4 linked regions of the Anolis sagrei genome follow. The protein of the gene in region 4 purifies or fractionates together with the protein of the main gene of each other region. This does not show direct contact. Links are inferred from orthologs where the notes say so. Each region holds a gene or a part of one and is shown on either strand. Other genes may lie near its edges.

Region 1 (7,773 bases), on a different chromosome or scaffold from region 4:
GCAAAAACACTAGACAAGTCCTACATTGCCTGGAATTGCACACCTTTCTGCATAGACACACACACAATGATATAACATGTGCGTGAGTATATGTAAACACATACACAGTACAGATAATATACATAAACACATAACACACCCACAAATAAATAACACACACAAAGTACAGGTCCATGTGGCACATGCAAACACATATACATGCATAGACACGCACACACACAAGTATGTAATGTGTGTGTGTGTGTGTGATTATATATACAGGCAGTCTCTGAGTTACAGGCACCTGACTTACATCCGATTCCAAGTTACAAAGGCAGAGACTGAGACAACAGGAGAAATCTGCCCCTCGATAGGAAGAGAAAGTCCTGAAAGTGTTATTATCATGGGGAAAAGAGGCCTCCACTGAAGCTTTATCATCAATCCTTGTTTCCACAACAAGCTGCCTTTGTCAAAATCCCATTACCACAGGGGCATAAAGTGCGACGAAATATTCTGAACACAGACAGCAAAGGAAACCTCTTAGGGGTTTATGCTATCCAAAGCTAACAAAATGTTTGTTTTAGCTAAAGTTACACATAAAAAGTCCCTGTTCTGACTTACACACAAATTCAACTTAAGAACAAACCTGCAGAACTGATCTTCTTTGTAACTTGGGAACTGCATGTATATATATGTGTGTGTGCGTCTGTATTTATGTATGTACGATATGTGTATTTATACATATTTATATATGTGCTTTTTATGTATGTGTATCTGCATATGTGTAATATATGTGTGTATAAATACACATATATAAGTGTGCATTTATGTATGTATATGTATTTTCAAAGGCTTTCATGGCTAGAATCACTGGGTTGCTGTAGGTTTTTCCGGGCTATATGGCTATGTTCTAGAGGCATTCTCTCCTGATGTTTCGCCTGCATCTATGGCAAGCATCCTCAGAGGTAGTGAGGTCTGTTGGAACTAGGAAAATTGGGTTTATATATCTGTGGAATGATCAGGGTGGGACAAAGAACTCTTGTCTGCTAGAGCTAGGTGTGAATGTTTCAACTGACCACCTTGATTAGCATTTGATGGCCTGGCGGTAGTCTGCAGTGCCTTTCATGTTCCTTGATTTGTGCTTGGGCGATGCTGCGTTTGGTGGTCCCTATGTAGACTTGTCCACAGCTGCATGGTATACAGTAGACTCCTGCAGAAGGGAGAGGATCCCTCTTGTCCTTTGCTGAACGTAGCATTTGTTGGATTTTCTTGGTGGGTCTGTAGATAGTTTGTATATTGTGTTTCCTCATCACTTTCCCTATGCGGTCAGTGGTTCCCTGTGGACAAGTCTACATAGGGACTACCAAACGCAGCATTGCCCAAACACGAATCAAGGAACATGAAAGACACTGCAGACTACTTCAACCAGAGAAGTTAGCCATAGCAGAGCACCTGATGAACCAACCTGGACACAGCATATTATTTGAGAACACAGAAATGCTGGACCACTCTAACAACCGCCATGTCAGACTACACAGAGAAGCCATTGAAATCCACAAGCATGTGGAAAATTCCAACAGAAAGGAGGAAGCCATGAAAATGGAACAAAATCTGGCTACCAGTATTAAAAAACTCTAAAATCACAACAGCAAAACATCAGAGAGGAAACAATCTGGGACATCTAATCACCTCTCAACAAAAGATTGCCCCAGGCACTGCCAAGCCATCAAATGTTAATCAAGGTGGTCAGTTGAAACATTCACACCTGGCTCCAGCAGACAAGAGTCCTTTGTCCCACCCTGGTCATTCCACAGATATATAAAACCTTTTTCCTAGATCCAACAGACCTCACTACCTCTGAGGATGCTTGCCATAGATGCAGGCGAAACATCAGGAGAGAATGCCTTTAGAACATGGCCATATAGCCCGAAAAAACCTAAAACGGCCCAATAAGGAACAGCTAATCACCTCTCAACCAAAGATTCCCCCAGGCACTAACAAACCACACCAAAAAAAACTGCCAGGCCATCAAATGCTGATCAAGGTGGTCAGTTGAAACATTCACACCTGGCTCCAGCAAACAAGAGTCCTTTGTCCCGCCCTGGTCATTCCACAGAAATATAAACCCAATTTTTCTAGTTCCAACAGACCTCACAACCTCTGAGGATGCCTGCCATAGATGCAGGCGAAACATCAGGAGAGAATGCCTCTAGAACATGATCATATAGCCTGAAAAAACCTACAATAACCTATGCATGTATATGTGTGTGTGCATAAGTGTATGTATCTGTGTGTGTTTATATATGTATACAGTATATGTGAGTGTGTACCTCTGTGTAATATGTGTGTACTTGTGTATATATCTATAGATAGATATGTGTGTGTATGTCTATATGTATAAAAACACACAAATTCATTCAGAGCACACATGCAGACATGACAACATAAACAAATACATGTATATATGTCTATATTTCCTTCCCTCCCTGCCCCTTCCTTCCTTCCTTCCTTCCTTCCTTCCTTCATCCTTTCCTTCTTCTTCCTCCCTTCCTTTTTTCCACACATCTTCCTTCCTTCTTTCTTCTTTCCTTCCCTCTTCCTTCTTCCTTCTTTCCCCCTTCCTATCTTCCTCCCTCCCTTCTTCTTTCCTTGCCTGTGTGCAGGGAGGCGTTGGGCGCCCCTCCGTCCTTTCCCGACTACGAAGTGGACGTCGCTGAGCACCTCGTTGTTGAAGAGGAAGGCCATGCGCTCCAGGACCGTGGGCTTGGTGGCCTGCCAGTTGTAGGCCGAGGGCGGAGGCGAGGAAGGCGGCGGGGAAGGTGGCGACGAGGAAGACGACGGCGCCGAGGCCGCGGGAGGAGGAGGCGAGGAGGAGGAGGCGACCCCCTGGATGCGCGGGTTGCCTCCGCCCCGGTTCTGCGCAGCACCAGGCCCCGGAGCCTCGGGCCTCGCGTGAGGGGGCGCTCCGCCCAGGTTGGAGCAGGGCGGGAGAGGCGGAGGAGGCGGCGCCGAGGAGGAGAAAGGCAGGCCCCCTTCGCCGCCGACTCCTTCCTCCAGGGGCCCGGCTCCGGCCGCCATTTTTCGGCGCCGAGGAGGAGGAGGAGCCCAAGGGACCGAGAAGGGGAGGAGGAGGAAACAGCACGGGCTTCCGCTGCGGCCCATGGAAGAAGGAAGGGAGGGAGGAAAATGGAGGGAGAGAGGAGGGAAGGCGCCGCCTGAGGGAAAGGAGGCGCAATGGCCGCCTGCCGAATGAGGCCTATGCGAGGAAGGCTTCCATACCTAGCTGAAGGGAAGGTTCTCGATGGAGGCCTACTTGAGGAAGGCTTCAAGGCCTGGCTGAGGGGAAGGTTTAGAATGGAGGCCTACCTGAGGAGACTTTGAATTGTGACCTACCTGAGGAGGCTTCCAAGGCCTGTCTGAGGGGAAGGTTTACATTGGAGGCCTACCTTAGGAAGGCTTCGAGGCCTACCTGATAGGAAGGTTTTAAATAGAGACCTACCCAAGGAGGGCATCAAGGCCTATCTGAGGGGAAAGTTGTCCTCCTGGATTCATCACTTACGTTTGAAAGCTCAGGTGTCGGCAGTGGCCGGGAGGGCTTTCGCACAATTAAGACTTGTGCGCCAACTGCGACCGTACTTCGCGAAGGCTGATCTGGCCGGGGTGGTCCATGCCTTGGTCACCTCTAGATTGGGGAAAGTGGAAGGCAAAAGGAAGAGGGGCCGACCAAGGGCAAGATGGATGGATGCCATCCTTGAAGTGACTGGACTGACCTTGATGGAGCTGGGAGTGGTGACGGCCGACAGGGAGCTCTGACGTGGGCTGGTCCATGAGGTCACGAAGAGTCGGAGACGACTGAATGAATGAACAACAATGCGCTCTAAGTGGGGCTGCCCTTGAAAACGGCCCGGAAATTTCAACTGGTCCAACGGGCAGCGGCCAGGATGTTAACTGGTACCCCTTATAAAGAGAGGTCAACCCTCCTGTTCAAGGACCTCCACTGGCTGCCGTTTATTTTCCGAGCCCAATTAAATGTGCATGTGCTTATCTACAAAGCCCTGAACGGTTTGGGACCATCCTACCTGCGTGACTGCATCTCCGTTTACAAACCCACACGTTCACTACATTCATCTGGAGAGGCCCTGCTCGTGATCCCGCCTGAGTCGCAAGCACGTTTGGTGGGGGTCACGAGACAGGGCCTTTTCTGTGGTGGCCCCCCGACTCTGGAACACCCTCCCCAAAGATCTTAGACAGGCTCCTACATTGGCAATCTTTAGAAAGAACTTGAAGACCTGGCTGTTCCGATGTGCCTTCCCAGAATAGGAAATTTCCAATACCAAGTCCCAGAAGCACTTTATTAGAACTAAGATTGCCACACACTGCACACTGCACTTTCCCTATAAGCCTTATATAAAAAAAAATCATCCAGGCGTCCCCTGGGCAACGTCCTTGCAGACAGCCAATTCTCTCACAACAGGAGCGGTTGCTCCTGACACACAAAAAAAATAATCCTTATATACCACCTGTCACATCAGCACTTTTAATTCTGTACCCATTACTCTGGCCCGGCCCAGTTTTATTGTGTTTTGGTGTATTGTTTATTGCTTGTTGTTTTGTTGTTTAATATTGTTTTAATTGTTTTTAATTTGCTTTAGGTTTTGTATTGTTATGCTGTGTATTGAGGCCTTGGCCTTCATAAGCTGCATCGAGTCCTTCGGGAGATGCTAGCAGGGTACAAATAAAGTTAATAATAAGTTTTAGAATAGAGGCCTACACGAGGAGACTTTAAATTGTGGCCTACCTGAGGAGGCTTCCAAGGCCTGTCTTAGGGGAAGGTTTACAATGGAGGCCTACCTTAGGAAGGCTTCAAGGCCTAGCTGATAGGAAGGTTTTAAATAGAGACCTACCCAAGGAGGGCATCAAAGCCTTTTGTTGTTGTTCATTCGTTCAGTCGTCTCTGACTCTTCGTCACCTCATGGACCAGCCCACGCCAGAGCTCCCTGTCGGCCATCACCACCCCCAGCTACTTCAAGGTCAGCCCAGTCACTTCAAGGATGCCATCCATCCATCTTGCCCTTGGTCGGCCCCTCTTCCTTTTGCCTTCCACTTTCCCCAGCATAATTGTCTTCTCTAGGCTTTGCTGTCTCCTCATGATGTGGCCAAAGGACTTCAACTTTGTCTCTAGTATCCTTCCCTCCAATGAGCAGCCGGGCTTTATTTCCTGGAGGATGGACTGGTTGGATCTTCTCACAGTCCAAGGCACTCTCAGCACTTTCCTCCAGCACCACAGCTCAAAAGCATCTATTTTCCGACTAAGGAGGAGAAAATCCTTTCCTTTTAAATCCCTTTACTGTCCCCACTCTTTCCAGGAACCTACATAGATTCTCTTTTTGTAATTAGCTGTGGCTCTTCTGTGACTCTTTAAGAAAACTTGTGCAGTGCTTTGCATTACAGGTTTCAGACAAACTTCACAGTAACATTGTTTATTTATAGCTTCTTGTACAAATGCTTATTGGTTACATTTATATCACTGTTTCTTAGTTGCACATAACTTGGTTTCATTACAGTTTTCTTTTCATAACAGTCTACTTCAAAGGTACTCAAACATCAACATTTTGCTAGCTTCCTACTCTGGCTTCTGCACTCAAACTGACTCAAGCCTCAACTGCCATTTGCCAACTTATTTTTATTTATTTATGTATTTTTCGTGTCAGAGCAACCAGTGCATTATATTACATTTCTAACAGAACAAAGCAAACAAACAGACAAATAGAAAACTTGTGAGTTTGGTAGTTGGTTAAATGTCCTTTGACCAGTATCTGGCCACTTGGAGTGCTCCGGTGTTGCTGCAAGAAGGTCCTCCGTTGTGCATGTGGCAGGGCTCAGGTTGCATTGCAGCAGGTGGTCAGTGGTTTGCTCTTCTCCACACTCGCATGTCGAGGATTCCACTTTGTAGCCCCATTTCTGAAGGTTGGCTCTGCATCTCGTGGTGCCAGAGTGCAGTCTGTTCAGTGCCTTCCAAGTTGCCCAGTCTTCTGTGTGCCCAGGAGGGAGTCTTATTTGGTATCAGCCATTGGTTGAGGTGCTGAGTTTGAGCCTGCCACTTTTGGACTCTCGCTTGCTGAGGTGTTCCAGCGAGTCTCTCTGTAGATCTTAGAAGACTATGTCTAGATTTAAGTCGTTGACGTGCTGGCCGATACCCAAACGGGATGAGCTGGAGATGTCTCAGCCTTGGTCCTTTCACTATTGGCTGCTACTTCCCGGCGGATGTCAGGTGGTGCAATATTGGCTAAGCAGTGTAATTTCTCCAGTGGTGTAGGGCGCAGACACCCCGTGATAATGCAGCATGTCTCATTCAGAGCCACATCCACTGTTTTAGTGTGGTGAGATGTGTTCCACACTGGGCATGCATACTCAGCAGCAGAGTAGCATAGCGCAAGGGCAGATGTCTTCACTGTATCTGGTTGTGATCCCCAGGTTGTGCCAGTCAGCTTTCGTATGATATTGTTTCTGGCACCCACTTTTTGCTTGATATTTAAAAAGTGCTTCTTGTAGGTCAGAGCACGATCCAGAGTGACTCCCAGGTATTTGGGTGCGCTGCAATGCTCCAGTGGGATTCCTTCCCAGGTGATCTTCAGAGCTCGGGATGCTTGTCTGTTCTTGAGATGAAAGGCACATGTCTGTGTTTTAGATGGGTTGGGGATCAGCTGGTTTTCCCTGTAATAGGCAGTAAGAGCACCTAGAGCTTCGGAGAGCTTCTGTTCTACTGTCTCAAAGTTCCCTGCTTGAGCAGTAATTTCCCAACTGTCAACTTTTAAATTCCTGTTCCAGCTTCTGCACCTACTCGTTTGCATAGGACCAATCGGAACCCTTTATGCAAATTAACTCTTCTCCTTCTGTTACTGCCCTCTAAGAATAACATAATGGCTGTTCTTGCATCAACTCTTCAATGTAGGCCCTATTACAACACTGACATATATATTAAAACTTTAACCTATAACAAACATTTCGCTACACCTCCCCTCAAAGAAGGCCTCCATATTGAATCTCATTTTTTTTTAAAAAAAAACAACTCTTCAGCTAAACTACCATTTTAAAGATCCCCCCTTTCAAAACCATAAAAGCCTCAATTTTTGAACCCACTTTCAATGTATAAAAGCCATCCAAACCTCCATTTAAAGGCCCACCTTTTTTCAACCCGCAAAACAGCCCCATTTTAAAGCCCAATGTAAAAGTGCCCCTGTTTAGAACCCACTTTTAAATATTTAAAAGCCTTCATCAGCCTCCATTTGAAAGCCTGACTTTTTAACCCATAAGACCCCCCCCCCTTTTTTTTAAACACCCCACAGGTAGATTATATTTTAAAGCCCACTTTTTTCTACCCATAAAAGACCCCCGTGTTCATACCTAGAGACCAGTAGCTAATCCTTTATATCTCTATTCTGTTCTCTTGTGGCTGTGTCTGAGCACTGCATCCATATATAGCTATAGATTAATAGCTAATCCTTTCTATCTTTATTCTGCCTTCTTGTGGTTGCACTTGAGCACTACATCCATACATATCTATAGACCAGTAGCGAATCCTTTCTATTTGTATAATGCCCTCTTGTGGCAGCATCTGAGCACTGCATTCATACAGCTATAGACCAGTAGCGAATCCTTTCTATCTTTATACTGTCCTCTTGTGGTTGCATATGAACACTGCATCCATACATACCTATAGAATCATACAGTTGTAAGAGACATTGTGGGCCATCTAGTCCAACCCCATGCCAAGCAGGAAAATCACATTCAAAG
Region 2 (7,973 bases), about 120 Mb from region 4:
GGATTATATGGCAATGTAGACTAATATAAATCCATTCAAAACAGATAATATGGATTTTATATAGCAGTGTAGATGGGGCCCTAGACCCGTTTCCAGAGAACTGTGGACCCCTCTACGCTGCCTTATAATCCGGATTATCCATGCAGATAACCCACATTATCTGCTTTCAACCAAAATCGGGATGGTAGACATTTGTTTTCATGTTGGCTGCCAAAAGATCAATTTTCTATCGGCCCATTTTGGGGGGAGGGGGAGTGCTTCCCAGGCTCCCATTCCCGTCATTTTAGACATTTAAGTTCTTTTACTCTAGAGGAGATGCACTCAGCTGCAGACAGGTGTGTTCTGCGCACGCTTTAAGGAGGCTTATTATCTATTCGAGAGGAGGTGCTTGGCTGCAAGCAGGCACAGGTGATTTCGGCAACCATACACACGCACACACTCTTTCCTAGGCAAGTTCTCATTCTTACTCTAGAGGAGGCACTTGGGTGCAGGCAGGGGTGTGGACTTTCTGGGTGTGCATGCCACACATACATGCACCCTGTTTCCAAAGCAAGGAGACAACAGGTAACTTCTCATTCTTACTCTAGAGGAGGTGCTTGGCTGCAAGCTGGCCTGCATGCCACACACACATGCACTCTCTTTCCAAGGCAAGAAGGCATGGAGCGCCACATACTCACGAAAAGCAGGCAAGGAGCCGGGATTGGCTCCTGCTTGCTTTTGTGCCGAGCTGATTTTCCTGCCAGGAGTGGGCTTCCCATTACATGCTCCCGAAGGTAACGAAGTAACAAAAGAATGGATGAAACAAAGGAAAACGGTTCCGCACACAACTCTAATTAAAGAGATATGTGGCTCTCTTACATTTGGTCAGTGAGAAAACTGGTTAGCCTACTCTTTGTCTTGTGTATGGTTCTGCGAGCTGCAACCATGAAACTTGTCAATTAGACAAATCCATCGAGAATGTAATAGATTAGACATTTTTGCAAAAGAGTACTCAGGCTATCGATAGCTGTTAGTTATGATGGTAAAACATTGCCTCTAGAGTCAGAGGTAGCGTGCTTCTTAATGCTAGTTAGTGGAGGAATGACAACTAATGGAGGCCATTGTTTTGTGTTGTGAGCTTCCCTGGAGTATCCAGTAACCTCCTGTGGAAAACTTGATATTGACCTAGATTGTTCTGATTCATCAAGATTCCCCTTGTGTTACCATTGTGGCACTATATTTTATTCATGACAGCAACACTATTTGTCATCATCACATGAATGGGCAGCACTTTCTCTTTAGCTCTGAGAGTGGTCATGCACATTCCATGATATCCAAACAGTTCTGTAAACAGATGTCAAGAGGCCTGCATTTAAAAATAATTATGAGCTTATGCTCTAATTTAAGTGGTTTTAAATTTAAAATAGCATGGTTCAGCAGCTAGGATGAGTACTGTAAATGTACTTTGGGACATTACTACAATTAGTCATAGCTTAACTGAGTAGCCTTCAGCATGTTTTTCATGCAGTAGACCATGATGGCTTTGAAAGACAGCAGATCACAAGAGCTGTCTTCATAGACCTGTCAGCGTCTTATGATACTGTAAACCACCGCCTCCTCCTGACAAAAATGTATAATATCACAAAGGATTACCACTTCACCCACCTCATAGGAAATCTGCTACAAAACAGGAGCTTTTTTGTTGAATTCCAGGGCTAGAGAAGCAGATGGCGGAAACAGAAGGACGGCCTGCCTCAGGGGAGCGTGCTTGCTCCATCCATGTTCAATATCTACACAAATGACCAGCCACTACCAGAAGGGACAGAAAGTTTCATCTATGCTGATGATCGTGCCATTACCGCTCAAGCAGGGAGCTTTGAGATGGTTGAACAGAAGCTATCCGAAGCTCTAAGTCAGTGGTTCTCAACCTGGGGTCCCCAGATGTTTTTGGCCTACAACTCCCAGAAATCCCAGCCAGTTTACCAGCTGTTAGGATTTCTGGGAGTTGAAGGCTAAAAACATCTAGGGACCCCAGGTTGAGAACCACTGCTCTAGGTGCTCTTACTGCCTATTACAGGGAAAACCAGCTGATCCCTAACCCATCTAAAACACAGACATGTGCTTTTCATCTTAAGAACAGACAAGCATCCTGATCTCTGAGGACTACCCTTCAGGAGAGAATGCTTCTGGAACATGGCCAGACAGCCCGGAAAACTTACAGCAACCCACTGAAGCTTTTGACAATACAACAACAACAATAATCTATATAAATAAAAATGTAATGTTCATTTGTGGAATTAACAGAACTCAAAAACCACTGGACGAATTGACACCAAATTTGGATACAAGACACCTAACAACCCAATGTATGTCCTTCACTCAAAAAATTGATTTTGTCATTTGGGAGTTGTAGTTGCTGGGATTTGTAGTTCACCTACAATCACAGAGCATTCTGAATCCCACCAACAACAGAATTGGGCCAAACCTCCCACACAGAACCCCCATGACCATCAGAGTGGGCCACAGCAACGCGTGGCAGGGGACGGCTAGTCTATATAAATAAAAATGTAATGTTCATTTGTGGGATTAACAGAACTCAAAAACCACTGGACAAATTGACACCAAATTTGGACACAGGACACCTAACAACCCAATGTACGTCCTTCACTCAAAAACATTGATTTTGTCATTTGGGAGTTGTCATTGCTGGGATTTATAGTTCACCTACAATCAAAGAGCATTCTGAACCCCACTAATGATGGAATTGAACCAAACTTGGCACACAGTTCTCCCATGACCAACGGAAATGCGGAAAACCGCATTGAGTCGCCTAATTAGGTTGAGAAACACGGTATAGAAATAAAGCAAATAATAAATAAATAAATAAACGGAACACACTGGAAGGGTTTGGTGGGCATTGACCTTGAGTTTGGGAGTTGTAGTTAACCTACATCCAGAGAGCACTGTGGACTCAAACAATGATGGATCTGGACAAAACTTGGCATGAATACTCAATATGCCCAAATGGGAACACTGGTGGAGTTTGGGGGAAATAGAATCTTGACATTTGGGAGTGGTAGTTGCTGGGATTTATAGTTCACCTGCAATCAAAGAGCATTCTGAACCCCACCAACGATGGAATTGAAGCAAACTTGGTACGCAGTTCTCCCATGACCAACAGAAAATACTGGAAGGGTTTGGTGGACAGTGTCCTTTGGTTTTGGAGTTGTAGTTCACCTACATCCAGAGATCACTGTGGACTCAAACAATGATGGATCTGGACCAAACTTGACACAAAAATTCCATATGCCTAAATATGAACACAGATGGAGTTTGGAGGAAACAGACCTTGACATTTGGGATTTGTATTTACTGGGATTTATAGTTCACTACAATTAAAGAGCATTCTGAAACCCACAAATGACAGAATTGAGGCAAACTTCCCACACACAACCCCCATGACCAACAGAAAATACTTAAGGCCATCCAGTCCAACTTCCTTCACCAGGGCAAGAAAATGTAATCAGAGCCCATGCAGTCATAAATATTAGGGCTGGGTAACCACGGAAAAATTTGTTTCTAAACTCAATTAGTTTTTAGGGGGTTTTTGCGTTTTGTTTTTTAAAAGAATTCCGATTTTTTTCTTTAAAAAAGTTCGAAATATACGAAATTTCGTAAATTACGAAATAATTACGAAACAATTTCGAATCGATTCGTTAATGGCGGACGCGATTGCGCAATATGCTAAAAAAATCCCCAAATGGGACAGGGGGAACTTCTGAAGCTTCCCTCTCCCTCTGTTGTTGACTGTTGGTGTGATAATTTATTTTTTATCACTGATAAAACAAACAACAACCCTAAAACTTGCACCAGACATACGGAAACAATTACGAAACAATTTCGAAAAAATTACGAAATAAATTGAAAAATTTGTTTCGATTTTTAATTGCTCCTGCATGGCTCAATATTGGATCGTAAGCTAATTTAAATACGAATTAATAACGAATTACGGAATTAATGAACGAAACCGCCCAGCCCTAATAAATATAGATAGATAGATATGATTCTCTCTCTCACACACACAGATATAGTATCATAGATTTGAAAGAGACCCTTAAAGAAGGACTATGATATGTTGCATGTTCCAGAGTAGGCAAATGAGACACTCTCCACATCAACACTGACAAAGAAACAATAAGAAATACTGTTTACTCACAAGCAGAAAGGAATTACATATATTAGAAACCAACACTTTCTCATTACTTTATTTTCCAGATCACCAGACTGGGCCACAGCAACGCGTGGCAGGGGACGGCTAGTAACAATAATAATAATGCAGATTCAAACTGCATGTTCTGGGGTGTAGATGGGGCCCTTACACAGCAGGGCGATTATACTTTTTTAAAAGTGTGAAAAGCCAAAGCTCCCCCTCCCAGAGTCTGAAATAAATGCCCTTCCCACGGGATTTCGTCACGGGTGTTGTTTTGTTGAAGGCGAGCCTTCGCCCTTTGCTCTCCTCCCCTCGGGCTTCAAGAGATCAGGCAGGAAGGCGCCTCGTGGAGGAACCTTCGCCCGGGAGGAGAAGGGCGGGGAGCGAGGGAGGGAGGGGACTACAGGTCCCAGAGTTCCCTGGTGACGTCACCGGGAGGGCGGGGCTGGCGGGCGGGCTGCGGGTTGGCGGCTCTGCCTGTCCGGCGGCGCTCCTTCCTCCTGGGAAGTTGGGATGGGACGCTCTTGGCGGAGGGAGGGCGCCCCAAGTCACTTCCTGCTGAGGAGAGAAAGTGCCTCTTTCGCTTTTCCTTTCTGGCCGAAGAAGGGAAGAGGAAGGCAGGTAAGGCGAGGAGCAGGATCCCCAGATCTGGCCCCATGCCCTCCCACTGGCTGGCTCTTGTGATCACCCTGCTCCCCTCCAACAAAGAGGGAGAGAATAATCAGAGAATAATAGAGTTGGAAGAGACCACCCAGTCCAACCCCCTGCCATACAATCAAACGTCCTGACAGATGTTTCAAAGCCTCCAAAGAAGGAGCCTCCACACACACTCCGAGGCAGAGAGTTCCACTGCTGAACAGCTCTCCCAGTTGGGAAATTTGTTGAGATTAACTTCACAATTCAGCAGCAGATCAGTTGCACAACTTCAGCGTTTTGCATCTTCCTGCACAGTATTTTCAGTCAACTGCTCCCACAAACTGCAGTCACTCTGGAACCTTTTACAAACACTTGAGCACATGCCCGGCCATTGTCAGTTTTACCATTGTCTTTCCCCCAGTCTAGATGACATTACAAACTTACCACAGCATATAGTTATATCTTGTCTTAGCAGACAAGTTCTTTTAATTACATATAGCCTTCGACAAACAACATCACAGCACAAGGAGAAATATACACTGTACATGACTTCCTTATATACAATTCTATACAATTACACATAGCAATCTCTGATTGGTTCCCAACTCATTAACTTAACTCAGACCCAGGATTACATCATTCACAATCACCTGGACTAGGCCAGAACACATTCCCCAAATGAAGTTCTAAATACAGTTAATGCATGACACAGCATTTCTAATAGGAGCCCATTAGCAGTGCATGACTCAGCTATATTACATTACAATACATGTTCAGGTGGAAATTCCTTTCCTCTAGTTTGGACCCATTGCATCCTAGTCTCCAGGGCAGCGGGAAGTAAGCCTGTTCCTTCTTCCTTATGACATTTAAAAAAGAATCATTTAATGTACATGTGGCCCGCTCTCTGTCATTACGTTTGGTTTCTCTGTTTTGTGTATATTGTTTATGCTTTGATGTTTTATACTTTATTGTTATGTTGTTTATTTTATTGCAATTTGTAATTTTGTATTGTAATTTGTTGTTCGGGCTTGGCCCCATGTAAACCGCTCCGAGTCCCTGTTGAGGGAGATGGTGGCGGGGTATAAATAAAGTTTATTATTATTATTATAGAATCCTAGAGTTGGAAGAGACCTCATGGGCCATCCAGTCCAACCCCCTGCCAAGAAGCAGGAGTATTGCATTCAAAGCACCCCTGACAGATGGCCATCCAGCCTCTGTTTAAAAGCTTCCAAAGAAGGAGCCTCCACCACACTCCGTGGCAGAGAATTCCACTGCTGAACAGCTCTCACAGTTAGGAAGTTCTTCCTCATGTTCGGGTGGAATCTCCTTTCCTCTAGTTTGGACCCATTGCTCCATTGCATCGTAGTCTCCAGGGCAGAAGAAAACAAGCCTGCTCCCTCTTCCTTATGACATAGAATCATAGAGTTGGAAGAGACTTCAATGCAGGAATATTGCATTCAGAGCACCTCCCACAGATGGCCATCCAGCCTCTGTTTAAAACAGTCTTTCTTAACCTGGGGGTCGAGACCCCTGTGGGGGTTGCGAGGGGGTGTCAGAGGGGTCGGCAAAGACCGTCAGAAAATACAGTATTTTCTGTTGGTCATGGGGGTTCTGTGTGGGAAGTTTGGTCCAATTCTATCGTTGGTGGGCTTCAGAATGTTATTTCATTGTGGGCAAACTATAAATCTCAGCAATTACAACTCCCAAATGTCAAGGTCTATTTTCCGCAAAGTTCTCCAGTGTTCACATTTGGGCATACTGAGTATTCATGCCAAGTTTGGTCTAGATCCATCATTGTTTGAGTCCACAGTGCTCTCTGGATGGAGGTGAACTACAACTCCAAAAACTCAAGGTCAGTGTCCACCAGACCCTCCCAGTATTTTCTCTTGGTCATGGGAGTTCTGTGTGCCAAGTTTGGTTCAATTCCATCATTGGTGGAGTTCGGAATGCTCTTTGATTGTAGATGAACTATAAATCCCAGCAACTACAACTCCCAAATGACAAAATCAACCCCACCCCAACCCCACCCATATTCAAATTTGGGCATATCGGGTATTTGGGATTTGAAAATACATCCTGCATATCAGATATTTACATTACGATTCATAACAGTAGCAAAATTACAGTTATGAAGTAGCAATGAAAATAATGTTATGGTTGGGAGTCACCACAACATGAGGAACTGTACTAAGGTGTCACGGCATTAGGAAGGTTGAGAACCACTGGTTTAAAAGCTTCCAAAGAAGGAGACTCCACACACATTCCGAGGCAGAGAGTTCCACTGCTGAACAGCTCTCACCGTTAAGAAGTTCTTCCTCATGTTCAGGTGGAAAACCCTTTCCTCTAGTTTGGGCCCATTGCATCCTGGTCTCCAGGGCAGCAGGAAGCAAGCCTGTTCCTTCTTCCTTATGACAAGTAATCATTTTATGTACATGCGGCCCGCTCTCTGTCATTATGTTTGGTTTCTCTGTTTTGTGTATATTGTTTATATGCTTTGATGTTTTATACTTTACTAGCCGTCCCCTGCCATGCGTTGCTGTGGCCCACATGGGGTTCCTGAGTGGGAGGTTTGGCCCAATCCTATCGTTGGTGGGGTTCAGAATGCTCTGTGATTGTAGGTGAACTATAAATCCCAGCAACTACAACTCCCAAATGTCAAGATTCTGTTTTCCCCAAACTCCACCAGTGTTCACATCTGGGCATATGGAGTATTCGTGGAGAGTTCGGTCCAGATCCATCATTGTTTGAGTGCACAGTGATCTGTGAATGTAGGTGAACTACAACTCCAAAACCAAAACTGCCCACCAAACCCTTCCAGTATTTTCTGTTGGTCATGGGAGAACTGTGTGCCAAGTTTGCTTCAATTCCATCGTTGGTGGGGTTCAGAATGCTCTTTGATTGTAGGAGAACTATAAATCCCAGCAACTACAACTCCCAAATAACAAAATCAATTTTTTTTGAGTGAAGGACGTACATTGGGTTGTTAGGTATCTTGTGTCCAAAGTTGGTGTCAATTCATCCAATGGTTTTTGAGTTCTGTTAATCCCACAAACGAACATTACATTTTTATTTATATAGATTTAGATAGATAGATAGATAGATAGATAGATAGGGAGGCTTCTTAAAAGAACAAATAAAACAGGATCAA
Region 3 (7,624 bases), on a different chromosome or scaffold from region 4:
AGGTGGCTCATAGCGGGAGATATATTGGGCCAGGACGATTAAGGGCTTTATAGGCCAGCGCCAGCACTTTGAATTGTGCTCGGAAGCTAATAAGCAGGCAGTGGAGCTGGCGTAGCAAGGGCGTTGTGTGCTCTCGATATCCTCCTCCTGTGAGCAATCTGGCTCCCGGGCCTTAGTTTGAGGACCCCTGTTCTAGAGCAGTGGTTCTCAACCTATGGGTCCCCAGGTGTTTTGGCCTACAACTCCCAGAAATCCCTGCTAGATTACCAGCTGTTAGGATTTCTGGGAGTTGAAGGCCAAAACCTCTGAGGGTTGAGAAACACTTCTCTAAAGCGTGTTTGGCTCGTCTCTGAAAGGTGATGCTTTTCTCAAAAGTTACGACCTCCAAAAGGTGTTATTTTTTCCTGAATGCCTTTTCCCAGAAGTGTTATGTTTTCTGCTGGGCCCCCCCCGCTTTTGGAATTCGTTGCCTAAAGAGATCAGGCAAGCCCCCACCCTAGCTGGTTTTAAGAAAGACCTAAAAGCCTGGCTCTTCCATTGTGCTTTTGGAGAATGACCATTCAACCCATCTGGTTGTCTTAGTCTACAGATACCCTCAGAACCAAGCATCCCCCCCGCCCCACCAAATGTCTAAATCCCATGGTTCCTCCCTGTTGGGCTCCTTTCCTACAAATGCACTTTCATCCCTATCTCACCCAGGGTTTTAACTTTTTAAACATTTTACCTCACATATTTGGCCCGCCCTCTGTGTCTAGTTTTAATATGCTGTTCTATATTGTTGATTTTGTTATTTTATATATTGTCATGATGTATTTTGTTACTGTGTGTTTATTATGTTGCATTCTTTTGGGCTTGGCCTCATGTTAGCCGCACCGAGTCCCCTTTGGGGAGATGGTAGGGGGTTATAAATAAAGTGTATTATTATTATTATTATTATTATTATTATTACCTTTAAAATTCTTGATGACTAACTTCTTGGCCGAGCCCGGTTTACTATTGGCAAAGCTGGAGACGCTGGACGAGGCGGCTTTGGTCAGGCCGTTCGCGTGGTGCCCAGTCTCCGGGCCTTAGTTTGAGGACCCCTGTTCTAGAGCAGTGGTTCTCAACCTATGGCTCCCCAGGTGTTTTGTCCTACAACTCCCAGAATTCCCAGTGAGTTTACTAACTGTTAGGATTTCTGGGAGTTGAAGGCCAAAACATCTGGGGACCCACAGGTTGAGAACCACTGATCTAGAAGGTAACAGTATAAAAATCTCAATAATGTTTTTGTTTTTTTTTGTATTATAGCTATGTTGATCACTATTCTTTTTCAATCTCTATATGCTGTATCCTGGAAAATAATGACTTTCTGTACGGTCATAATTTTTCAAAAAAATTAGATTTTCATTGTATTACATACACCAGTGTTTCTCAACCTGTGTGGCAAATTAGGTTCAAATCAATTGCCGGTGGAGTTCAGAATGCTCTTTGATTATAGGTGAACTATAAATCCCAGCAACTACAACTCCCAAATTACAAAATCAATCCCCCCCCCAACCCCATTAGCATTCACATTTGGGCATATTGGGTATTTGTGCCCAATTTAGTCCAGTGAAAATATATCCTGCATATCGGATATTTACATTACGATTTATAACAGTACTAAAATGACAGGTATCAAGTAGCAACGAAAACAATATGGTTGGGGGTCACCACACCACCAACCCCAGAGATCCCTCCGTTCTGAGGACCAAGATCTATTGGAAGTCCCCAGTGTCAAGACCTTGCATCTAACGGCAACCAGACGCAGAGCCTTCACAGCAGTGGCACCATCAGTCTGGAATGCTCTGCCACCTGAAGTTCATGCCCTGCAGGACTTACCAGCTTTCCGCAGGGCGTGTAAGACATACCTGTTTCGACAGGCTTTTAATGTTTGATACTGTTGTTTTTAAATTGTTTTAAATAGCTTTTAAACTTTGTTAGATTTAGCCGCTCCGAGCCCCAGAAGAGTGGCGGCATATAAGTTTAAATAATAAATAAATAAATAAAACATAGGGAACGGCATTAAGGGGTCACGGCATTAGCAAGGTTGAGAACCACTGGCTTAGAAACAAATATTTGAGAAACACTTCTCTAAAGCGTGTTTGGCTCTTCTCTGAAAGGTGACACTTTCCTCAAAAGTTACGATTTCCAAAATGTGTTTTTCTTTTCCTTTCTGAATGCCGTTTTCCAGAAGCGTTACCTTTAAAATTCTTGATGACTAACTTCTTGGCCGAGACTGGTTTACTATTGGCAAAGCTGGAGACGCTGGACGAGGCGGCTTTGGTCAGGCCGTTCGCGTGGTGCCCAGTCCCCGGGCCTTCGTTTGAGGACCCCTGTTCTAGAGCAGTGGTTCTCAGCCTGTGGGTTCCCAGGTGTTTTGGTCTACAACTCCCAGAATTCCCAGCCAGTTTACTAGCTGCTAGGATTTCTGGTAGTTGAAGGCCAAGACATCTGAGGGTTGAGAAGAGTGTGTTTGGCTCTTCTCTGAAAGGTGAAAGTTACGATTTCCAAAAGGTGTTTTTCCCCCCTGAATGTCGTTTTCCAGAAGCGTTACCTTTAAAATTCTTGATGACTAACTTCTTGGCCGAGCCCGGTTTACTATTGGCAAAGCTGGAGACGCTGGACGAGGCGGCTTTGGTCAGGCCGTTCGCGTGGTGTCCCGCGGCCACGGAAGAAAGGAGGAGGCTTTTGCTTTTGAGCTGTTGTTGTTGCTGCTGCTGCTGTTGGGAAGCAGACGAGGAAGACGAAGCCGGCGACGAAGTGGAGGAAGACTCCTCGGCCATCTTGACATCGAGTCCAATAAAATCCAAGGAGTCCTCAAAGCGGAGCTTCTTCTGCAAGTGGTGGTTGGAGGAAGACGAGGAGGAGGAGGAAGAGCAGGAGGTGGTAGCAATGGCTGAGGAAGAAGAGGAGGAGGAATGGTTCCTGGGGAGGAGAGAAGAGCAGGAGGAAGAAGAGGAGGAAGAGAGGGGCTCCGTCTCGTCCTTCTCGCTGTTGTTTAGCTTTCTCTTCTTGGAGGAAGAGGAGGAGGAAGACGACGAGGAAGAGGAGCTACTGCTGCTGCTACCATCAGTGGCAGGCCTGACCTCCTGAGCGGAAGAGAAACCTGTGGGAAACATGAACACCCCCGAGATGAGCCGCAGGCGGGCCAGAAGGACGGTCGGGCACCCGCTCTTCCTTCCTCCCTTCCTGCCTTCCTTCTCCCCGTGTCTCCGTCTCCCCTGCGAGGCCTGTCCGCCTCCCCAAGCAGGAGGCCAGCCCAGAGCCTTGTTATGGTCAGCACCACAGCCCGCTCAGGCAGGGCAGCCCCAAAAATGGCGGCGCTTCCGCCCGCGCGGCACGCCGGGAAGCCGACCCCGCCGGAAGTTGAGGAGGCGAGCAAGGAGGCGGAAGTGGCTCTCCTGCGCCCAGGCGGGGTCACGTGACGGCGCCTCCAGGCCTCCTCCACGGGGATGGCTCTGGCTCCCTTCCTTCCTTCCTCCCTTCCTTTTTGCAAGGCCAACACAGGGATGCTTCTACTCTTTCCATTCGTCCTTCTTTCTTTTTCCCTAGTTTCCTTCCCTTCTTTCCCTCTTTCCTTCTTCCCTTCTTCCTTCCTTTCTTCCTCCCTTCTTTCCTTCCCTTCTTTCCCTCTTTCCTTCTTCCCTTCTTCCTTCCTTCCTTCCTCCCTTCTTTCCTTCCTTCCCTCCCCCCTCCCTCCCTCCTTCCCTCCCTCCCTCCCTCCTTTCCTTCCTCCTTCCTTCCTTCCTTCCTTCCTTCCTTCCTTCCTTTCACAGGGATGCCTTGACTCTTTCCTTTCGTCCTTCTTTCTTCCTCCCTTCTTTCCTTCTTCCCTTCTTCCTCCCTTCTTCCCTTCCTTCCCTTCTTTTCTTTCCCTTCTTTCCTTTCACAGGGATGCTTTGACTCTTTCCTTCCGTCCTTCTTTCTTCCTTTCTTCCTCCCTTCTTTCTTTCCCTCTTTCCTTTCCTTCCTTTCTTTCACAGGGATGCTTTGACTCTTTCCTTCCGTCCTTCCTTCTTCCTTTCTTCCTCCCTTCTTTCCTTCCTTCCCTTCTTTCCTTTCCTTCTTTCCTTCCTTCCTTTCACAGGGATGCTTTGACTCTTTCCTTCCATCCTTCTTTCTTCCTTTCTTCCTCCCTTCCTTTGTCCTTCCATTCACAGGGATGCTTTGACTCCTTCCTTTCTTCCTCCCTTCTTTTCCTTCTTTCCTTCTTCCTTCCTTCCTCCTTCTTTCCTTTCTTCCTTCCACCCCCCCCCTTTCTCCCTACCTCCTGCCTTTCCTTCTTTCTTTCCTTCCTTCCTCCCTCCCTGCTTCCCCCTTCCTTCCTTCCCGCCCATCCTGTTTCCTTCCTTCCTTCCTTCCCACCCTCCTTCCCGCCCTCCTCCCTTCCCTCCCACCCTGCTTACCTCCTTCCTTCTCTTCCTCCTACCCTGCTTACCTCCTTTCTTTTCCTTCCTTTCCTCCCCACCCTGCTTATCTCTTTCCTTCCTGCCCTCCTCCCTTCCCTCCCACCCTCCTTCCCTCCCTCCTTCCCTCCCTCTTTCCCTCCCTGCCTGTTTCCCTCTCCTTCCTTCTGTTCTTTCTTCCTCCCTCCTTCCCCCTTCCTTCCTTCCCGCCCACCCTGCTTCCCCCCTCCCTCCCTCCCTCCCTCCCTCCCTCCCTTCCTTCCTGCCCTCTTTCCTTCCCTCCCACTCTGCTTACCTCCTTCCTTCTCTCCCTCCTACCCTGCTTACCTCCCTCCTTTTTTCCTTCCTTCTCTCCTTTCCTCCCTCCCACCCTGCTTATCTCTCTTCTTCCTTCCTTCTCTCCTTCCTCCGCCCCAACCTGCTTCCCTCCCCCCTTCCTTTTTTCCCTTCCTTCCCTCCCACCCTGCTTACCTCCTTCCTTCCCTGCTTCCCTCCCTCTTTTTCCTTCCTTCCCTTCTTTCTTCCCTCCCACCCTGCTTGCCAACCTCCTTCCTTCCCTCCCACCCACCCTGCTTACCTCCCCCACCCTGCTTACCCCCTCCTTTCTTTTCTCCCTTCTTTCCTTTCTTCCTTCCTTCCCTCCCTCACTCCTTCCCTGCCTGTTTCCCTTTCTCCTTCCTTCCTTCCTTCCTTCCTTCCTTCCTTCATTCATTCATTCTTTCCTTCCTTCTGAACCCCAAAACTCCAGATGATGTATCCCAGTGGCTTCATGTAGATCGGTTGTTCCCAACCTTTTGGACCCCTGACCAACAATAGTACCAAAAGGATTACAGATCAGTTTTTGGTCAACTTTAGATTCGGTTTGGTTATTTGGGGTGCTTATTCAGAAAATTGGACAAACCACCTCAGCTCTAGTTTCTAATGCAGAACATATTCTACCCAGTAGTCACCATCTGCTCATCCACAGAAAACCATATTTGATAATCTAGAGATGATGTGGTAGTAGTAATCTTTCGTGGGTAGTCAGCCTCTCCCTCCCGACATACCCGTTGCCTAAGAGAGTTTCATGAGACCAGTCATGTGGTTTTGAGACAACAGTGTAGTAACAGTAAGGCCGTGGACCATATTTTCATTCTTGCAGACCACTGGTGGTCCACAGGCTACAGTTTGGGAACCACTGAGGTAGACGTTGAATAACATTGGGGATAGCAATGAGTCCTGTGGAAGACCACAACCCACCAGCCATGAGGTCGAGCAGGACTCCCCCAGGACCACCTTCTGGGAACGGCCTGAGAAGAAGGATTAGAACCACCATAGCACATTGCCTTCTAACCCCATTCCCTCAAGCCTTCCCAGAAGGATACCATGATTGATGGTATTGAAGGCCACTGAGAGGTCCAGGACGGTTAATAGGGTCAGACTCCCCTGATCAAGTTCTCCGTGTAGATCATACACCAAAGTGACCAAAGCTTTTTCTGTTCCACGTCCCAGTCTAAAGCCAGATTGATTCGGACAGTCAACCTGATCCAGAAATCCGTATGGTAGTGTACATCCAGCCTGCCATTTTTGACAAGGACTGAGCCCAACTCCTTTCATAGTATACAACTAGAGTAGAAAGTAGCATGACAACGATAGTCTACAATGCATTATTTGTATGTCGTTGAAAGTGAGTCCAATCACATCAGTCCCTCGCATGAATCTGAACTGAAGGCAGGTTTCCATTGCTGTGGGCTGGAAAGGCAGGGCATGTTTATACGAAATAAAAGCTGGGTATAATAATAATAATAATATAGACGTGGATTCAGTGGATCAAAGACGAGCTTGAAGAGAAAGAATGATAATTTGATTTAATTTTATTTCACCTCTTTTATTGTGATGCATTATTAAATACATTAATAAATGATAAGTTATTTATTTTCATTAATCTATATAAATCAAAATGTAATGTTCATTTGTGCGATTAACAGAACTCAAAAACCACTGGACGAATTGACACCAAATTTGGACACAAGACACCTAACAACTCAATGTATGTCCTTCACTCAAAAAAATGATTTTGTCATTTGGGAGTTGTAGTTGCTGGGATTTATAGTTCACCTACAATCAAAGAGCATTCTGAACCCCATCAACGATGGAATGGAACCAAACTTGGCACACAGTTCTCCCATGACCAACAGAAAATACTGGAAAGGTTTGGTGGGCAGTGTCCTTTAGTTTTGGAGTTGTAGTTTGCCTACATCCAGAGAGCACTGTGGACTCAAAAAAGGATGGATTTGGACCAAACTTGGCACAAGCACTCAATACGCCCAAATATGAACACAGATGGAGTTTGGAGGAAATAGACCTTGACATTTGGGAGTTGTAGTCACTGGGATTCACAGTTCACCTACAATCAAAGAGTGTTCTGAACCCCACGAACGACAGAATCGGGGCAAACGTCTCACACAGAACCCCCATGACCAACACCAATACTTAAGGCCATCCAGTCCAACTCCCTTCCCCAGGGCATGAAAACGCAATTAAAGCCCTCCTGATAAAAAGCCATCCAGCCATAGATAAAGATATATATGATTCACACACACAGAGAGATAATATCATAGATTTGAAAGGGACCCCTAAAGAAGGACAATGATATGTTGAATGTTCCAGAGTTGGCAAACCAGACACTCTCCACATCAACGCAAAGAAACAGAAAAAGAAAAACAGTTTACCCACAAGCATCAAGATATTTCATATTTTAGAAACCAACACTTTCTCATTACTTTATTTTCCAGATCAACAGACTGGGCCACAGCAACGCCTGGCAGGGGACAGCTAGTAAATAATAAGTTATTTGCAGATTATTCAAAAATAATAGTAATAAATAAATTAATAAAATATTTAAAATTGAACACATAAAATTTAAGTCAACATTGGCATGTTTTCAAGCTGCTAGGATGGCAGGAGCTGGGCCTAACAACGGGAGCTCAACCTGTTCCCGGATTCGAAGTGCCGACTTTCCGGTCAGCAAGTTCAGCAGCTTAGACATTTAACCTGCTGCACCATTATTATTTATTAATTATTAAATACATTTTAATTGTTATCTCATTTAATGGTTAATTGTGTGTTAAATTTTAAACGATTTATTAATAAATAATTTAATATTACTATTTTTACAACTAAACAATTATTTATGAAAATGATGTATTTATTTATAA
Region 4 (7,733 bases):
GAGGGAGCAGGCTGCCTTTCTGCTGCCCTGGAGACTGGGACTCAATGGAGCCATGGGTGCAAATGGCAATTGAACATTAAGAAGACCTTCCTAACCATAAGAGCTGTTCAACAGTGGAACTCTCTGCCACAGAGTCTGGTGGAAGCGCCTTCCTTGGAGGCTTTAGAAACTGGGGCTGGATGGCCATGTGTCAGGAGGGGCCTTTTGGGTGTGTGTGTGTGGGGGGGGGGGTGTCTTTGATAGTGCTTTTCCTGCCTAGCAGAATAGGGTCAGACTGGATTGCCTTCGGAGACCCTTCTCCTGTGCCTCTCCCTCTCTCCTTAGCCCCATATGTCCCCTCCCTCCCTCCTTTGCTGGGGCTCACACTGTTCCTCCTTGGTGTAGTAGTACTCCTTGTCGATGACGGCGTTCTCCTCGACCGAGTGTGAGAGCAGCTCAAAGGAGTTCATCACCTCGATGTTGCGCCCCTCCTGGCGCCCAATCAGCGCCCCGATCACTGTGGAGAGAGAACAAGGGAGAAGGCCGGAGGGAGATGGAGAGAGAGACCTTTATTGACCCCCCCTCCCCTTTGGCCCCTCCCTCCAACCTTGGCTCCTCCCCCTCTCTTGTAGCTCCCCCCAGACAGTCATAGCCCCCCCATTGTCTCTCCCCCCCCTTGTATCCCCCTCTCCTTGGCCCCTCCTGTCGCACCTCAGAATAGATTCCCCTTGCTGAAATCACCAGAAGTGCACACAGACTGAAGTCTTTGTAGTTTATTAAAAAGTAAAAGATGAAAAGTTTAAAAAGCAAGTAGCGTCCCACAGATCAATAATACAACTTTCTTTGCGGCTACTATTGCGTCTGCAAGAAACCGTCCGGCGGAGTTGTTCCGGATTGTCAGAGGTCTTTTAACTCCCGCCACCTCAGGCGGGAGCCCTGACAATTCGGCCACGCGCTGTGAAGCATTTGCTCGGTTCTTTGCAGACAAAGTCGCCTTGATCCGTTCCGGTCTGGACACCATATTAAATGCAGTCTCCGAGGATGTGACCCGAGCACCTGCTTGTCCTATTTTGATGGATTCATTTCAATTGGTGAAGCCCGAGGATGTGGACAAGATACTTGGAGGAATGAGGCCCACCACGTCCATCCTAGACCCCTGCCCATCCTGGCTTCTGAAGGAGGCCAGAGGGGGATTGGCTGAGTGGGTAACAGTGGTGGTTAACGCCTCCCTTCGGGAAGGCAAGATTCCAGCGAGCTTAAAACAAGCTATCATAAAACCGCTGTTGAAAAAACCATCACTGAATCCCACTAGATTTGACAACTTTCGGCCAGTTTCCAATCTCCCCTTTTTGGGCAAAGTCATGGAAAGCGTAGTGGCCTCACAACTCTACCAAGGTATTCTTGGTAGACACGGATTATCTGGATTCGGCACAGTCTGGTTTCAGACCGGGACATGGAACTGAGACGGTCTTGGTCGCCTTAGTGGATTATCTGCGCCGGGAGCTAGACAGGGGGAGTGTGTCCCTGTTGGTGCTCCTGGACCTCTCAGCGGCCTTCGATACCGTCGACCACGGTATCCTTCTGGGGCGCCTTGCGGAAATGGGCCTTGGGGGGAGGAGCCTCCATCACACTCTGGGGCAGAGAGTTCCACTGCTGAACAGCTCTCGCTTGAGGAGCTCCCCCCCCCCACTTCCTTCCTTCTTTCCTTCCTTATAGAACTCAAGAGTGGGAAGAGACCCCCCCTCCCGACAGATAGCCATCCAGCCTCTGTTTCAGCAGAGAGTTCCACTGCTGAACAGCTCCCGCTTGAGGAGCTTCCCCACTTCCTTCCTTCCTTCCTTATAGAACTCAAGAGTGGGAAGAGACCTCCCCCTCCCGACAGATAGCCATCCAGCCTCTGTTTCAGCAGAGAGTTCCACTGCTGAACAGCTCTCGCTTGAGGAGCTCCCCCCTTCCTTCATTCCTTCTCTCGTTCCTTATAGAACTCAAGAGTGGGAAGAGACCTCCCCCTCCCGACAGATAGCCATACAGCCTGTTTCAGCAGAGAGTTCCACTGCTGAACGGCTCCTGCTTGAGGAACTTCCCCACTTCCTTCCTTCCTTCTTTCCTTCCTTATAGAACTCAAGAGTGGGAAGAGACCTCCCCCTCCCGACAGATAGCCATCCAGCCTCTGTTTCAGCAGAGAGTTCCACTGCTGAACAGCTCTCGCTTGAGGAGCTCCCCCCCTTCCTTCCTTCCTTCCTTCTCTCCTTCCTTATAGAACTCAAGAGTGGGAAGAGACCTCCCCCTCCTGACAGATAGCCATCCAGCCTCTGTTTCAGCAGAGAGTTCCACTGCTGAACAGCTCCTGCTTGAGGAGCTCCCCCCCCTCCTTCCTTCCTTCCTTCCTTCTCTCCTTCCTTATAGAACTCAAGAGTGGGAAGAGACCTCCCCCTCCCGACAGATAGCCATCCAGCCTCTGTTTCAGCAGAGAGTTCCCCTGCTGAACAGCTCCCGCTTGAGGAGCTTCCCCTCTTCCTTCCTTCCTTCTTTCCTTCCTTATAGAACTCAAGAGTGGGAAGAGACCTCCCCATCTCGACAGATAGCCATACAGCCTCTGTTTCAGCAGAGAGTTCCACTGCTGAACAGCTCTTGTTGTGTTTCAAATAGTAATAATAATAATAATAGAGTGAGGAGGAGACAGGCCTTCTCCTTAACTCTTCTTCTCTCGTGGCCCCCTCCCCAGACCCCTCCCCCGGCTGTTTTCTCCTTGTGGGCCTCTCACCTTGTGCGGGGCGTCCCTCCTGGGAGCGCATCCGGATCCAGTGGTCGCTGATGTTGAGGATGACGAGCGGGTGCAGCGCCACCGACACGCTCCCCGTCACGCCCGAGGCCATCACCGCCGGGCCCGCTGCCAAGGAGGAGGACGAGGAGGAAGAGAAGCCCCGTCAGGCCCCAGCCAGGCCTACCCTTCCCATTCTCCCCTCTCCCCCTCGCTCCCTTCCCTGCTCACCGGCCGCGTCCACCTCCATGCCGCCCGCGCCGCCCCCTCCGTTGCTGCTCCCGGGCCCCGGCGGGCAGGAGCCGCCGCTGGAGCCCGACGCCGCCATCTTGGCTGTGGGGGATGTCCCGACGCGGCACCCGTAGCCCAGCAGCGCCGAGGGACTGCGCATGCGCCCCTGGCCCCCCTAGAGCTACGAAGAGGATAGTTTAATAGAGAGACAGCGCCCTCTAGTGGCAGGAGGAGGAGTGGCGGAGGCAGAGCCGGCGCATGCGCCCCTGACGGCCCTACATCTACGGCTGGGATAGTTTAGATGGAGAGATACAGCACCCTCTAGCGGCAGGAGGAGGAGCCGCGGAGGCAGAGAAAGCTGTGGCCCCGCCCACTGGGAGGGAAGCCCCGCCCACTAGTCCTTGTGTTATTGTTTATATGTGAGTTATATTAATTGTACTGTTTTATTTTCTTGCTGCCTTGTTGTTTACTGATGTGTTGTTGGGCTTGGCCTCATGTAAGCCGCCCTGAGTCTCCTTGGGGAGATGGTGGCAGGGAATAAATAAAGTATTATTATTATTATTATTATTATTATTATAGGAGGGCCGTTCAGCAGTGGAACTCTCTGCCCCGGAGTGTGGTGGAGACATCAGGCAGGCCCCAACCCTGGCAGTCTCCAGGAGGAACTTGAAGACGTGGTTGTTCCAGTGTGCCTGCCTGGAATAATGATCCCATATCACTTTGTCCCTCTAAAGCACTTCACATTTTTAGGTCTGCTCGTATGTCTTTCCACAAACACCACTATCACTTTTTCGTCCACGTTTCAGCACTATTTCCAATTTTAATTTTACATTTGGCCCTCCCACAGTTTTAATTGTATGTTGTCTTATTGACAATGTTATATGTTTATTGTTTATGTTTCATAGAATCCTAGAATCCAAGAGTTGGAAGAGACCTCCTGGGCCATCATCCAGTCCAACCCCCTTCTGCCAAGAAGCAGGAATATTGCATTCAAAGCACCCCTGACAGATGGCCATCCAGCCTCTGTTTCAAAGCTTCCAAAGAAGGAGCCTCCACCACACTCCGGGGCAGAGAGTTCCACTGCTGAACGGCTCGCACAGTCATAGAGTCAGAATCCTAGAATCCAAGAGTTGGAAGAGACCTCCTGGGCCATCATCCAGTCCAACCCCATTCTGCCAAGAAGCAGGAAGATTGCATTCAAAGCACCCCTGACAGATGGCCATTCCAGCCTCTGTTTCAAAGCTTCCAAAGAAGGAGCCTCCACCACACTCTGGGGCAGAGAGTTCCACTGCTGAATGGCTCTCACAGTCATAGAGTCAGAATCCTAGAATCCAAGAGTTGGAAGAGACCTCCTGGGCCATCATCCAGTCCAACCCCATTCTGCCAAGAAGCAGGAAGATTGCATTCAAAGCACCCCTGACAGATGGCCATTCCAGCCTCTGTTTCAAAGCTTCCAAAGAAGGAGCCTCCACCACACTCCGGGGCAAAGAGTTCCACTGCTGAATGGCTCTCACAGTCATAGAGTCAGAATCCTAGAATCCAAGAGTTGGAAGAGACCTCCTGGGCCATCATCCAGTCCAACCCCATTCTGCCAAGAAGCAGGAATATTGCATTCAAACCACCCCTGACAGATGGCCATCCAGCCTCTGTTTCAAAGCTTCCAAAGAAGGAGCCTCCACCACACTCCGGGGCAGAGAGTTCCACTGCTGAACGGCTCTCACAGTCAGGAAGTTCTTCCTCATGTTCAGGTGGAATCTCCTCTCTTGTAGTTTGAAGCCATTGCTCCATTGCGTCCTAGTCTCCAGGGAAGCAGAAAGGAAGCTTGCTCCCTCCTCCTCCCTGTGGCTTCCTCTCACGTATTTATACATGGCCCTCATCATATCTCCTCTCAGCCTTCTCTTCTTCAGGCTAAACATGCCCAGCTCCTTAAGCCGCTCCTCATAGGGCTTGTTCTCCAGACCCTTGATCTGCTTCCTCCTCCCTGTGGCTTCCTCTCACGTATTTATACATGGCCCTCATCATATCTCCTCTCAGCCTTCTCTTCTTCAGGCTAAACATGCCCAGCTCCTTAAGCCGCTCCTCATAGGGCTTGTTCTCCAGACCCTTGATCTGCTTCCTCCTCCCTGTGGCTTCCTCTCACGTATTTATACATGGCCCTCATCATATCTCCTCTCAGCCTTCTCTTCTTCAGGCTAAACATGCCCAGCTCCTTAAGCCGCTCCTCATAGGGCTTGTTCTCCAGACCCTTGATCTGCTTCCTCCTCCCTGTGGCTTCCTCTCACGTATTTATACATGGCCCTCATCATACCTCCTCTCAGCCTTCTCTTCTTCAGGCTAAACATGCCCAGCTCCTTAAGCCACTCCTCATAGGGCTTGTTCTCCAGACCCTTGATCTGCTTCCTCCTCCCTGTGGCTTCCTCTCACGTATTTATACATGGCCCTCATCATATCTCCTCTCAGCCTTCTCTTCTTCAGGCTAAACATGCCCAGCTCCTTAAGCCGCTCCTCATAGGGCTTGTTCTCCAGACCTTTTATCATTTTAGTCGCCCTCCTCTGGACACATTCCAGGTTGTCAATATCTCTCTTGAATTGTGGTATTGACAAGCTGGAATGTGTCCAGAGGCGAGCGAGTCCTTTGGAGATGGTAGCGGGGTACAAATAAAGTGTTGTTGTTGTTGTTATTATTATTACAGTCCACGTTTCGTAGGTGCATATCAGGGTTGGGAGGACAGTGGCTTTATAAACAGGGTAGCTGTTTAGGTCTGGAGAACAAGCCCTATGAGGAGCGGCTTAAGGAGCTGGGCATGTTTCTCCCTACGGATGTCCCGGTCCTCAAACACTCTCTGCTTCATTTGGGAAAATGCTGCACTCGCAGAGCTCAGGCGGTGTTGTACTTCAGTGTCAATGTTGACTTTTGTGCAGCCAGGTTGTTTAGAGACTGATTAGCAAGATTTAGGACTAAAAGGCTGTGATCTCTATAAGGTTTGGAAGGAGGAGGAGGAGGAAAAAAAGATTGCAAGCTTTTCCTGTTTGCTCAGCAACCAACTATTTGTAGATCATTGTGGCAACTTTGTGGTCAAGCCTTATTGGTCAAGATTCAGGAACTACGTGTCTGTTGGGTCACATTATAATTTTGCATTGAAAGTAAACGATGGGGAAGTGACATCCTTTAGATTTAGAATATACTTACGGGAAAAGGAAAGAATCTCATTTCCTTACCGATAAACTCAAACAGCAAAACATCTCATTCAGATGAGACAAACTGGAAGGTTTCTGTTAAAGCAACACCAAGTACATTACCAAAAGTTTGTTTATTATTTACTAGCTGTACCCGTCACGCGTTGCTGTGGCCAAACTTCCCTCTTTCTCTCCTTCTTTCCCTCCTTCCTTCACTCCCTCTTTCCTTCCTTCCTTCCTTCCCGTCTTTCCTTCTCTATCTCTTTTCTTCTTTTCCCCTTTTTCTTTCTCTTCTTGTCTCTCTTTTCTTCCTTCTCTCTTTCCTTCTTTCCTTCCTTTCCTCTTTATCTACATCTTCCCTCCTTCCTTCGCTCCCTCTTTCCTTCCTTCTTTCCCTTTTTTATTTCCTTCTCTCCTTCCTTCTTTCTCTAACTTTCCTTCCTTCCCCCTCTTTCTTTCCCTCCCTCTTTCTCTCCTTTCTTCCTTCTCTACCTCCTTCCTTCCTTCCTTCTCTCTTTGCTTCAATGCTTCCTTCTCCCTTTCCCTCCCTCCGTCCCTCTTTCTTTCTTTCTTTCTTTCTTTCTTTCCTTCCTTCCTTCCTTTCCTTTCCTTTCCTTTCCTTTCCTTTCCTTTCCTTTCTTTCCTTTCTTTCTTTCTTTTCTCCCTCCCTCCCTCCCTCCTTCCTTTCCTTTGCTTTCCTTTCCTTTCTTTTCTTTTCTTTTCTTTTCTTTCTTTCTTTCTTTCTTTCTTTCTTTTCTCCCTCCCTCCCTCCCTCCTTCCTTCCTTTCCTTTCCTTTCCTTTCTTTTCTTTCTTTCTTTCTTTTCTCCCTCCCTCTTTCCTTCCTTCCTTTCCTTTCCTTTCTTTTCTTTCTTTCTTTCTTTTCTCCCTCCCTCCCTCCCTCCTTCCTTTCCTTTCCTTTCCTTTCCTTTCCTTTCCTTTCCTTTCTTTTCTTTTCTTTTCTTTCTTTCTTTCTTTCTTTTCTCCCTCCCTCCCTCCCTCCTTCCTTTCCTTTCCTTTCCTTTCTTTCCTTTCTTCCTTCCTTTCTTCCTTTCTTTCTTTTCTCCCTCCCTCCCTCCTTCCTTCCTTCCTTCCTTCCTTTCCTTTCCTTTCCTTTCTTTTTTCTTTCTTTCTTTTCTCCCTCCCTCCCTCCCTCCCTCCTTCCTTCCTTTCCTTTCCTTTCCTTTCCTTTCTTTTCTTTCTTTCTTTCTTTTCTCCCTCCCTCTTTCCTTCCTTTCCTTTCCTTTCCTTTCTTTTCTTTCTTTCTTTCTTTTCTCCCTCCCTCCCTCCCTCCTTCCTTTCCTTTCCTTTCCTTTCCTTTCCTTTCCTTTCTTTTCTTTTCTTTCTTTCTTTCCTTCTTTCTTTCTTTTCTCCCTCCCTCCCTCCCTCCTTCCTTTCCTTTCCTTTCCTTTCCTTTCCTTTCCTTTCTTTTCTTTTCTTTTCTTTCTTTCTTTCTTTCTTTTCTCCCTCCCTCCCTCCCTCCTTCCTTTCCTTTCCTTTCCTTTCCTTTCCTTTCCTTTCTTTCCTTTCTTCCTTTCTTCCTTTCTTTCTTTCTTTCTTTTCTCCCTCCCTCCCTCCTTCCTTCCT

Evidence for each region.
Region 1: the proteins of COPS6 (region 4) and BTBD2 purify together in Homo sapiens (affinity purification with mass spectrometry; 4 studies listed by BioGRID and IntAct, counting the BioPlex papers as one, with this or other methods). This does not show direct contact. The link is inferred for Anolis sagrei from reciprocal best matches to the Homo sapiens genes COPS6 and BTBD2.
Region 2: the proteins of COPS6 (region 4) and TOR1AIP2 purify together in Homo sapiens (affinity purification with mass spectrometry, with the first as the bait; 3 studies listed by BioGRID). This does not show direct contact. The link is inferred for Anolis sagrei from reciprocal best matches to the Homo sapiens genes COPS6 and TOR1AIP2.
Region 3: the proteins of COPS6 (region 4) and CUL4B purify together in Homo sapiens (affinity purification with mass spectrometry; 8 studies listed by BioGRID and IntAct, counting the BioPlex papers as one, with this or other methods). This does not show direct contact. The link is inferred for Anolis sagrei from reciprocal best matches to the Homo sapiens genes COPS6 and CUL4B.

Annotation. Positions count from the first base shown.
Region 1 is NC_090034.1:52,727,794-52,735,566, reverse strand, and holds the start of BTBD2 (BTB/POZ domain-containing protein 2), read right to left. Parts: upstream 3,157-7,773; 5' UTR 3,142-3,156; coding exon 2,633-3,141; intron 1-2,632.
Region 2 is NC_090024.1:125,731,135-125,739,107, forward strand, and holds the start of TOR1AIP2 (torsin-1A-interacting protein 2), read left to right. Parts: upstream 1-4,645; 5' UTR 4,646-4,810; intron 4,811-7,973. UniProt on the Homo sapiens protein: Required for endoplasmic reticulum integrity. Regulates the distribution of TOR1A between the endoplasmic reticulum and the nuclear envelope as well as induces TOR1A, TOR1B and TOR3A ATPase activity.
Region 3 is NC_090030.1:3,459,734-3,467,357, forward strand, and holds the start of CUL4B (cullin-4B), read right to left. Parts: upstream 3,366-7,624; 5' UTR 3,141-3,365; coding exon 2,576-3,140; intron 1,050-2,575; exon of another isoform or gene 950-1,049; intron 1-949.
Region 4 is NC_090024.1:246,917,803-246,925,535, reverse strand, and holds the start of COPS6 (COP9 signalosome complex subunit 6), read right to left. Parts: upstream 3,152-7,733; 5' UTR 3,132-3,151; coding exon 2,972-3,131; intron 2,870-2,971; coding exon 2,744-2,869; intron 497-2,743; coding exon 365-496; intron 1-364. UniProt on the Homo sapiens protein: Component of the COP9 signalosome complex (CSN), a complex involved in various cellular and developmental processes.